Linked DNA regions of Arabidopsis thaliana. The protein of the gene in region 2 purifies or fractionates together with the protein of the main gene of each other region. This does not show direct contact. Each region holds a gene or a part of one and is shown on either strand. Other genes may lie near its edges.

Evidence for each region.
Region 1: the proteins of AT5G08180 (region 2) and SCL30A fractionate together in Arabidopsis thaliana (co-fractionation; one large-scale study listed by BioGRID). This does not show direct contact.

The regions. Positions count from the first base shown.
Region 1 is NC_003074.8:4,428,741-4,434,133, forward strand, and holds SCL30A (SC35-like splicing factor 30A), read right to left. Parts: upstream 3,420-5,393; 5' UTR 3,259-3,419; intron 2,882-3,258; 5' UTR 2,863-2,881; coding exon 2,717-2,862; intron 2,383-2,716; coding exon 2,305-2,382; intron 1,580-2,304; coding exon 1,412-1,579; intron 1,323-1,411; coding exon 1,191-1,322; intron 1,089-1,190; coding exon 824-1,088; 3' UTR 516-823; downstream 1-515. Other genes in the region: AT3G13580 (Ribosomal protein L30/L7 family protein), read left to right, coding at 5,069-5,248, 5,335-5,393. UniProt on the Arabidopsis thaliana protein: Involved in intron recognition and spliceosome assembly. Binds probably to multiple 5'-GAAG-3' repeats found in its third intron, suggesting autoregulation of alternative splicing. May be necessary for accurate splicing of the 3' region of introns.
Region 2 is NC_003076.8:2,630,974-2,635,431, reverse strand, and holds AT5G08180 (Ribosomal protein L7Ae/L30e/S12e/Gadd45 family protein), read left to right. Parts: upstream 1-1,581; 5' UTR 1,582-1,753; exon of another isoform or gene 1,754-1,996; 5' UTR 1,997-2,057; coding exon 2,058-2,190; intron 2,191-2,298; coding exon 2,299-2,368; intron 2,369-2,508; exon of another isoform or gene 2,509-2,662; intron 2,663-2,766; exon of another isoform or gene 2,767-2,908; intron 2,909-3,015; exon of another isoform or gene 3,016-3,132; intron 3,133-3,229; coding exon 3,230-3,335; intron 3,336-3,427; coding exon 3,428-3,589; 3' UTR 3,590-3,916; downstream 3,917-4,458. Other genes in the region: EMB1873 (porphyromonas-type peptidyl-arginine deiminase family protein), read left to right, coding at 4,385-4,458. UniProt on the Arabidopsis thaliana protein: Required for ribosome biogenesis. Part of a complex which catalyzes pseudouridylation of rRNA. This involves the isomerization of uridine such that the ribose is subsequently attached to C5, instead of the normal N1.

The sequences.
Region 1 (5,393 bases), on a different chromosome or scaffold from region 2:
TTAAAAATGATTCAGAAATATATATATTCACCATTATTCGGAAATTGATAGTCTTTTAGAATTGCCTAATTAAGTTTTCGTATATATTTATTTTATGGGATCATTAAAATAGCAAACAATTGTTTCCAAATTTCTCCAAAACGAAGAAAGAATTGATTATCGACATTATCGCCGTGCATTTCGATCCAAGCTTAAGTGCTCTACGGGAAAACTGAAAATTCAAAAACCTGCGACGACCAAGACTTTTGTCGGATCGAGAGACTCAGACAAGTCAACAGAAGAAAAAATTTCTGGCTAAAAGAACAGAATCGTTAGTAACACTCATATACCATATGACCACTTGTAATTAATAACTTGACTTGTCTCAGGGTTTGGATTTTGGAATAAAACTTCCAATGTTAAGAGAAAAAACTAAAAAGTAAGAAACCGTTAATCTTGGCATTTTGTTTGAAAGAAAGAAACAAAGTTTTTTTTTTCTTAGATGCTTTTTGGAAAAAGAAAGCAGAAGAAAATAGCTGGAAAGTGTTCAAATGCCGATTCAAAACAAAAGGAGCCTTACGTCAAAAAGCTCCCATAATAGGACCATCTTTTTCACCATAACAATGTTAGATGAGATCTAAAAAGATAAGATGACAAATAACACATGCTAATTCAAAATACTGTCTCAAGATCATCCATGGATCAAACATAAAGCAAAATACCAATAGCACTACAAATATCTGTCTAAGTAGGGAAATATCAATCTGAGGCAAACAAAATATCTGATCAAACAGAACAAGACTGAAAAACTGAAGAGTAGAGAGATATATGGTGTAATCATAAATCACTGGCTTGGAGAACGGTCTCCATTTTGTGCTCCACGAGGGACTGGGGTCGGGCTCCTGCTCTGCCTAGGGACAGGGCTTTGGCTCCTTGCTTGTTCTGGCGTGTAGCTCCTGTTTTTTCTTGGGCTCACGCTTCTTCTTGGGCTTCTGCTGTGGCTCTTCACTCTCCCAGGACTTCCACTGCGAACCCTTGAGCCATTATGGGGTGGTGAGCGAGAGTATGACCTCTCCTTCTCATATCGTCTATCCTGAGGTGAGACAGACCTGCCATAAGACAGAGTTGGAGAGTAGAGGGTGGTTTAATCCATCAGTTAACTGTAAGAATATCTGTCAGTATGAATTTCACAGGCATGCAGAGCTAGTTACCTAGATTGATGTCTTTTAGCGGGAGGAGAATTATAGCCGCGGCTACGTGATCGTGATCTACGACCACGGCGAGGAGGAGGAGACCGAGAGTACCGAGGAGGAGAACGTCTTCTGTCCTGGAATCTGTTGCTCCTACAAACATGAAAAGATACAAGTTGAGATCAAGTCATCTCATTGTATAGACAAACTAATGCTTTTTTCTAGGAAGAATGTCAATTCACCTTCCACCTCGATCCCTTGTTCTCATCTCAGTTGGCTTCTTCCGGTTTTCTTCAGCAAATACGACAGTCAACTCACGACCAAGAAGAAGATAACCATCCATTTGATGTTTAGCCTCAGCAGCATCAGCAGGATCCATAAACTGAATGAATCCAAACCCCCTTGGATCTCTGCAACAAATCCAACAAACAAACAAAAAATCTCAGCCTAGAACCAAAAACACAATAAGCAAGAAAGATGTACAGCTTTGACGAGAAGCCTGTAGAAAAAGTTGGCATTACAATCTCCTGCAATAGAAGCCATCGTTATAAACATGAAAAAGCAAGCACTTGCCTGCAAACCTTGCAAGTTTCAGTATAAAGATGACTTCTCCAAGACTTGATATCTCTTCAAATTGAATTCAAACCCAACTTCCTTCCAACCTTCACTACCATTTAGAACATCTTCCAAAGAACTCTAATTACTTCATTGGTCTCTTCAACTCTCTAGATTCACTGTTAAACCTCAACAACTTTAATAAACAGACTCGAAGTGTGACCGAACATGGAACATATCACTGTATTCTTTCCCTAAAGTGACTCGAAGAGGGCGAAGTTTTAGGTGTACTAGACTTAAGCTGAAAACCTAAGTGTAGATAAAACAAACGTTTCAAGGCTCCAAATGTGATTTTGGGAAGATTGGATATAAAACCGGACATGTTTGACATAGACCTTTCAGAAAATTCTTATAAATCTAACAAATTCATGAGCTGCATACGATGGAATGTAGGATTCACAAAAGGTGGTTTACGAAGCAAAAGAAAACAATAAGAAAGAGACATAGTCTAATTGAAGTAATGTAAAATTATGCCCTGGATGTATAAACATTCAATGTCTTATCTACAGAGCATCCTCACCCAGTATAGTAATCCCTAGGAAGGTAGATGTCCTTGACGGGACCAAACTGCTCAAATGGCCTCCTGAGGTCTTCTTGCCTGGAGAAAAGGTCAAGAGAAAACAGAGTCAACCAATTGTAAACAACTGTGATTTTCTAGTAATATGGATACACAAGTTTATGCATGCGCTATCTAAAAATAATGAAATATACGTTTTACATGCTTCTAAATCAGTTTTTGCCACACAAAAAAATCCACCAAACCAATCTTTGATGATGAGTCATACATCAGCTTTAGGAAAGCCTTTTAGACAAGGCTAAACAAGTAATGGACTCACGAAAACTTACAAGGAAACAAAATCATTGAAAAGAAATATATAATTTTGTGTAAGAGAGAAAAGAGTAGTATACACATGCAGTAGTAAAGAATATACCTGCAATCATGACGTAAGTTGCGAACCAAGAGACTGGTTGGGAGATCACTGTCACGACTCCCACCAAACCGGCCCCGAGGGCTAGGGCTCCGGCCCCTCCTTCCATAACCCCTTGGTGGTGATGGCGTGTAGCTCCTTCCTCTCATTGTGTCTAGACTTTAATATCTATATCAATCAAGTAACCAACAGAAATTGAGTCAGAGAATGTGCTAGATATGATTGAATGATTAAGAAATAGAAGAACCACCGCAGAAGCTTACACACATCTAGAGAAGACTTCAAAAAAGTATAAAACCAAATTTGAATTCTACAAATTCCAAGCCATAAAACAATTACTGAATGTGGATATACATCTAGCTAATAATGAGTTTCAAACTAAGAACTAAGCTATCGGAGAACATCTCAAGTAACAACAAGAAAGATCGATCCTAAACAAGAATACAAATTTGAGATCAATTCAATAGACCTTAATTAACCACTGCCGATAAGATAAGACGACGAAGAAGAAGAAAGGAGAACAGATTAAGCATCAAGAGACTTACCGCAGCTAAGGAGTTGAAAAGAACGACGGACGGCGAAGAAAAACACAGGGGAAGCGGCGGGATATGTATCGGAGAAAAGAGACAGTGTTTAGAGAGAAAGTGTGAAACCTAGTTTTATGGTTTTGGATCTTATGGTCTGAAGCGAACGGGTCATTAGGGTTTTTTCTGCAATTTTTTATTTTATTTCCTTTCTTATGTATTGTCTACAAATCCTTTCGTTTTTCCCTTTGTCAACTTTTGCCCCAAATTCCTTCCAAACGTTTAGTTTTACGCACCATACTTTCTTATATTACATGTAGACCCAGTTAATGTAGTTTTTTTTTTTAAAATCAACAGATCCATTAAATGTAGTTAATTTCTTAACTTAATTGTAAAGTTTGAATCTTGTTCTTATGAGAGTAATTTAGAGGAATTTAAGTATTGGTTCAATCTAACTCTTGTGATAGAATATGAGGATATATCTTATATTAAGCCGGTTTATTTTGATCGTTTATCATTGAAATTATGTTTGGTTGATTAAAAAATGAAAATATCTAACTTTTTTTGTTATGTATTCTACACTAAAATTTGAAATCACTTGTTACTCTTACAATTTTATGTTTTCCGTATGTGTGTTTCGACAACTTCTCCAATCAAAATGCATAATAATAAATTAATCGATTTAGTTTTATTCCAATCACTTTGTTACTAACAAAATGTGTTCTTGGCATTCAAGAGACATTAGCCATACATTTTTCTTTTTTTTCAAAGAGAAATAATAGTAAAGTTCATATCAACGATTTAAATATATGGTCAAATTGAATGATATATCTAAGATACCAATTTGAAAGAAAATAAACTAAAAAACTGTTAAACTATTTTAGTCGAGTGGTTCATTCATCTTTGAATTTAAGAAACAAAAAAGTTGATAAGAAAAGTTTTTGAAAGTTAAAAAACATGTGAAGAGAGTAGAAAATATAAACCAAGGGTCTGTTTGTAAAGCCGAATTATCTGAGTCAAAACAAAAAATATCGCAACTCTAATAGGGTAAAAGCGAAATCATAAAAACATAACGAAGCCCTAGTCCAAAAATTTCTCATACTATAAAATGATTTTTTTTTTTGCTTCGCTCCCTCTTTTTCACTTCGTTAACGGCCCCGCCTCCACTCTATCCTACCGCCGACGTCCGTGATCGCCGGTTAGTCTTCTTCTTTCTCTTCGCCCTCTCAACATACATCGTTGCAGAAATCAATCGTGTTTCGAGCTGCGCGATTGCATTGGTCAGGTTTAGGAAAGCTATGTGTGTTTTGGTAGTGGTTCGGCTTTATTTGGCCTAAACAAATCTAGCTATTGGTTCAGAAGAAGGTGGAATCCTGAGAAAGCTCTCTAAACAACGCATGTGATCTAGCAATTGGATTACTTTACAAAAATTAAGAGTCTTTAAGGTGCATAACCTGTGTGATAGAATGTAATTGGATCTATGACTTGTGGACCATTTCCTAGGTTTTTTAAAAGATTTTTTCTGATATGTATGACAACAGACACGAGGATTATGCTAGTAATTGCCTGAAAGTATTGATTTTTGGAGCCTAAAACCTTTTGTATCATTTTGGTGAAAGGTTATGTTTCACTCGTGTAACACAATTCCATTTCACTTGTTACATTTTTATATATGTTTTCACTTGCATTATCTAAGAAGCTGGAATTCTTGCTTTGATTTTATTAGCAGTAGCATCTAATTTTGTTTGTTTTTCAGTTTCTCTCTTCAGGAAAAGTGTAGTTAAACGATTGAGTATTCCAATTTTGTTCTTTGGCTATGTAATTTACAGAAATGACTGAAGCAGAGTCCAAGACTGTTGTTCCTGAGTCAGTGTTGAAGAAGAGAAAGAGGGAGGAAGAATGGGCACTTGCCAAGAAACAGGAGCTTGAGGCTGCCAAAAAGCAGAATGCTGAGAAGAGGAAACTCATATTTAACCGGGCTAAACAGTACTCCAAGGAGTACCAGGAGAAAGTATTTTTCTACAAGCTTAGTTTGCAATTTTTTCTAATGTGAGAAATGCAAATTCATTGAGCGTTTCTGCTACTTGTTTTCTTCAGGAAAGGGAATTAATCCAGCTGAAGCGTGAGGCAAAATTGAAAGGAGGCTTTTATGTTGA
Region 2 (4,458 bases):
AAACCAGATCTATAAAGTTTGTTATTAAAAGATAGAGAGAGAGGAGGGATGTAGTAGGCCAATAGGCAAATCAGAGAATCACAAATGGTATCTGGTCAAGAAGATTCCTGGTTAAAACTTTCATCTCTCTGTTTCCTTTTTCTTTCTTTGTTGGATTCATTAATTTGACATATCTCTATCATCACACTGATTCTCTTTCTCCCAGTTTGTCTGCAGATGCATGTGTGTAATCTAGGGTATATGTTTTTGTCCATTTGGTTTCATAAGGCAATAAAGATCCAGCTATTTACTACTTGTGGTATAGATTTTGACTGTTGAATTTTCAGATCTGATGTGTTTCGTTTGATCCGATTCGGAAAATTTATGTTTCGTTGACATTTTGGAGTTTAGTTGGAAGAAGAGTGAGAGTCGCTGGAGGCAGCGGTTCATCGATCTCTTCCTGTGAACACATTAAAAATGTAAAAGCATGAATAGATCGATAAACCTCTGCATCCAGCGTTTGCCTCTTGTATCTTTCTTATTGACTTGAATCTTTTTGTTTATTGGTTTTTGAAAGAAGAAAAAAGTGAGGGAAAACAGAGTCAAGTCCGATTACTTTTCTGGGAAAGCTGAGGATTTTGTGTTCTTAGAGAGCAGATGAAGAGGTGACTGTTGTTTCTGGTGAGAATTCGACCTCTTTAGTTTGTTTGTTTTTTCAGTTAATGAAGTGCTTGTTATTGAAGTGTGTAGTTGACTGATAAGCGCCTTAGCTTTATCTTAATGTTTATCAAGTAGATTTGGCGTTGGATAATTAAAAAGAAGTTCAGATTCTTGTAGGTTGCTTACTTCGTCTGACCAAACAATGTTCCTGAAAAAGTGTTGTGTTTTGTTTCATGTATCAAAAAGTCTAGCTTCAAAATTTTCTTGCTTTTTTCCAACATGCAAGATTTCTCTTTATAAATCGGTACATTTGTAGGTACAAATCGGTACAAATTTGCCATTGTATAAATCGGTACAAATTTTCCTGTGTTCTTGTAACAATGCCCTTTATACATTTGTAGGTGAGATAGAAGTTGGCATCTAAATTTGCTTTCTCTGGACCAGTGAAATCAATTGCAGTCTCCTATATATTGTAGTAGGCGATGTATCAGTGGTGAAGCGAGGATGACATCTGTGGGTACTTGTTCTTAATCCTTCACTCTGATATCTATGCTTTAGAAGCGTTTCAAGTTCATGAAGCTGATTTGATGTTGAGTTTTTAACAACAAGAATCAATTCACTCCAAAAATATGTAAACTCTGCCATGCCTTGAGCTGCTTTTTGGATTATCCACTGTTTTGTTTTGTGATTAAGTTCATTATTTTCTACTATATATGATGAAACCGAAAATTGTTAATTGCTAACGCAAACACTGATCTCCATCCCCATGATATTCCTACGTACTTATTGACCCGACAATGACATTCAAGCTCCAAACATCAATCTTCACTTATGGCTTTTTGTTAGTTGTTTGTACATTTCCTCAAGCAAGTTAGAAACACGTTTTGGTAATAGAATCATACTGTTTTTTGGTAATATATATAGATAATGGATGTCATGGATAAAGCAAAATCACTTGGTGAAGTTTTTAAAAAAGTCTTTTCATCTGAGCATCCGATAAAAAACCTCATACTAATCGTTGGAATTTATTTGCGAGAATGTGGTTAAATAACATTCACCAGCTACAGTAACTAACATTATCTTAAGGAAAATTTGATTTTTTTTTTTTTTTTTGGTCGGATTTGATTTTTTTGATTTTCAAGCTAAACAACATACAATATCTCAAAGTCAAAAGTCAATGAATGTAGCAAATCTTAGTCTGTATGAAGGCCCAAATAATTGGGCCATTATATGCAACCAGTTTACCTCATTAACAAGCCCATATGAAATTAGGGTTCCTATATTTTACTGGTCAATAATACACTTCTCTATAAAAACCCTAACACTTCTGGTCATATAACAACCGCCTAAACCCTAGTTTTTTCCGCCACACTCTTCCGCCATTATTTTTGTTACTTGGAGCTAGCTAGCTAAAAAATATGGGAAGCGATACCGAAGCAGAGAAGTCGATTCAAAAGGAGAAGAAGAAGTACGCTATTACTCTTGCTCCTATCGCTAAACCTCTCGCCGGCAAAAAACTCCAGAAGAGAACTTTCAAACTCATTCAAAAAGGTACCAATCTCAGTTCCAAGCTCGCTTCACATCTCTCTATCTTCTTTATTTCTCATTATATATTGATTAGTAGCTCATGTTGGTGTATTGCTCTGTAATTTTTGTCAGCTGCTGGGAAGAAATGTTTGAAGAGAGGAGTTAAAGAAGTGGTTAAGAGCATAAGACGAGGCCAGAAAGGGTTAGTTTTTTCATTCTTTGTCTTTTTATTGAGTGTGATTTATGATTGTTTTGTGTTGCAGATGGCTTAGCTGATGTATATGTGTTGATGTTTTGTGTTATTAATTGATTAGTTGATGTTATTGTCCTGCAAATTGCTTAGTTAGTTTTGAAATCCGTGTACAAATAAGCCGATGCTCTGGATTAAAGTAATGAATGTAGCATGGTACTGTACACGGAAACTGAACTATGGATCGACATGTCTGCCATCTCTGATTTTTTCCCTGATTAGACGGCCTGGTTTAGATCCACATTCTCTGTTTGTGTTGTGATTATGTTTGTGAAAACGGTAACATGTTCTTCTATGATCATTCATGATGTTATCTACTAGTGTAAGCTCTTTATTTAGCTGATTTTGAAAGCCGTCTACAATTAAGCCGATGCTCTGGATTAAAATAGAATGAAGGAAGCATGGTACTGTGCACGGAAACTAAACTATAGATCGACATGTCTGCCATCTCTGATTTTTCGTGATGAGACGGCCTGGTTTAGATCTACATTCTCTGCTTTTTGTTACTTATTATGTTTGTTTTCATTGATGTTATGATAGTTGTTTGCATAGTTGATGTTATATCCGTGTACAATTAAGCCGATGCTCTGGATTAAACAGAATGATTGTAGCATGGTACTGTGCACGGAAACTGAATCATGGGTTTCAAATGTCTGTGCCTGCTCTGAGTTCCTTATTGGTTCTTTGATTTGCGGGCCTGATTTGAACCCACATTTTTACATTTCTAATTGTTTTTTCCTTCTTCTACGCAAACAGTAAATTCTTTTATGTTTTGAATGTTGTATCTGATGTGATACGTTTGTGTTTGTGCAGATTATGTGTAATAGCTGGAAACATTTCACCTATTGATGTTATTACTCATCTTCCAATCTTGTGTGAGGAGGCTGGTGTTCCTTATGTATACGTTCCTTCAAAAGAAGTAAGCCAATTTTCTTTCTTGATTTCTATCATCTTACCAATTAATCGGTTTTGTGGTGCTAAGATATTCAATATTTTTTTTATGAAATTCAGGATCTTGCGCAAGCAGGGGCAACGAAACGACCAACATGTTGTGTCTTGGTAATGCTTAAACCTGCGAAAGGAGATTTAACTGCAGAAGAACTTGCAAAGTTAAAGACAGACTACGAACAAGTCTCTGACGATATTAAGGAGCTAGCAACTTCTGTAATCTGATTAGAAACTAGAATGGGTGTTCCTCTTGTGCTTTTGATGGTTAATGAATATCATCATATTTACGGCATCGGATATTACTTTGGACTATTTAAGGTTTTTGATATTGTAGCGCTAATCGATTGTAAAAGTTTGAATCATGAATCCTATGGTTTCATCTGGTTAGTGCTCTCTTTATGGCGTTTTTTTAAATCTCCTCCTTACGTGTTTAGTCATTGTCTCCTTACGTGGTCAGTACTTAGTCATGTCTTCGTGCTATCGATTGGTTATTACATCATTATTTATTATACAGACTAATTTAGTTTTTGTTAATAATCAACATTAAGTTATACACAACTTTTATTTGGCATAGCTATATATCTTTTTGAATTGTTATGTTAGAAGTTTGTTGAAATGAAAGATTACGGTTGAAATGACAATAAAAACAAGAAAAGAAAAAGAAAAATATCAAAACAACTTTTGTCGTGTTTGGGTCACTAGATTGGGTTTAGGATTCCGATTCTGCTCGCCTCTGGATTCTGATTCCGCTCACCACTAATAGTGGGGTCGTGCCCGGTCGTGTAATGAGCATAAGTTTCAGTCGAATAGTTAAAAAGATGGGGTCCAACTGTAAGAAAATATATTCTATACGGGTCTCTTAAGAAAACTGAGAAATTGTTTCGGAATCTTTTTGTGTACCTTTCTTTTTTTTTCTCTTCTTGGTCAGAAAAAGAAGTATTAGGAATCAATAACGCATACGGTATACACATCAGTTTAAAGCTTACATCTGACTTCTCTCTCACAAAAACATCGTGAAGAATGGAGGAGTCACGAGAATCGCCGGCGGAACACGGCTACTACATGCCGGCGGAATGGGATTCTCATGCTCAAAC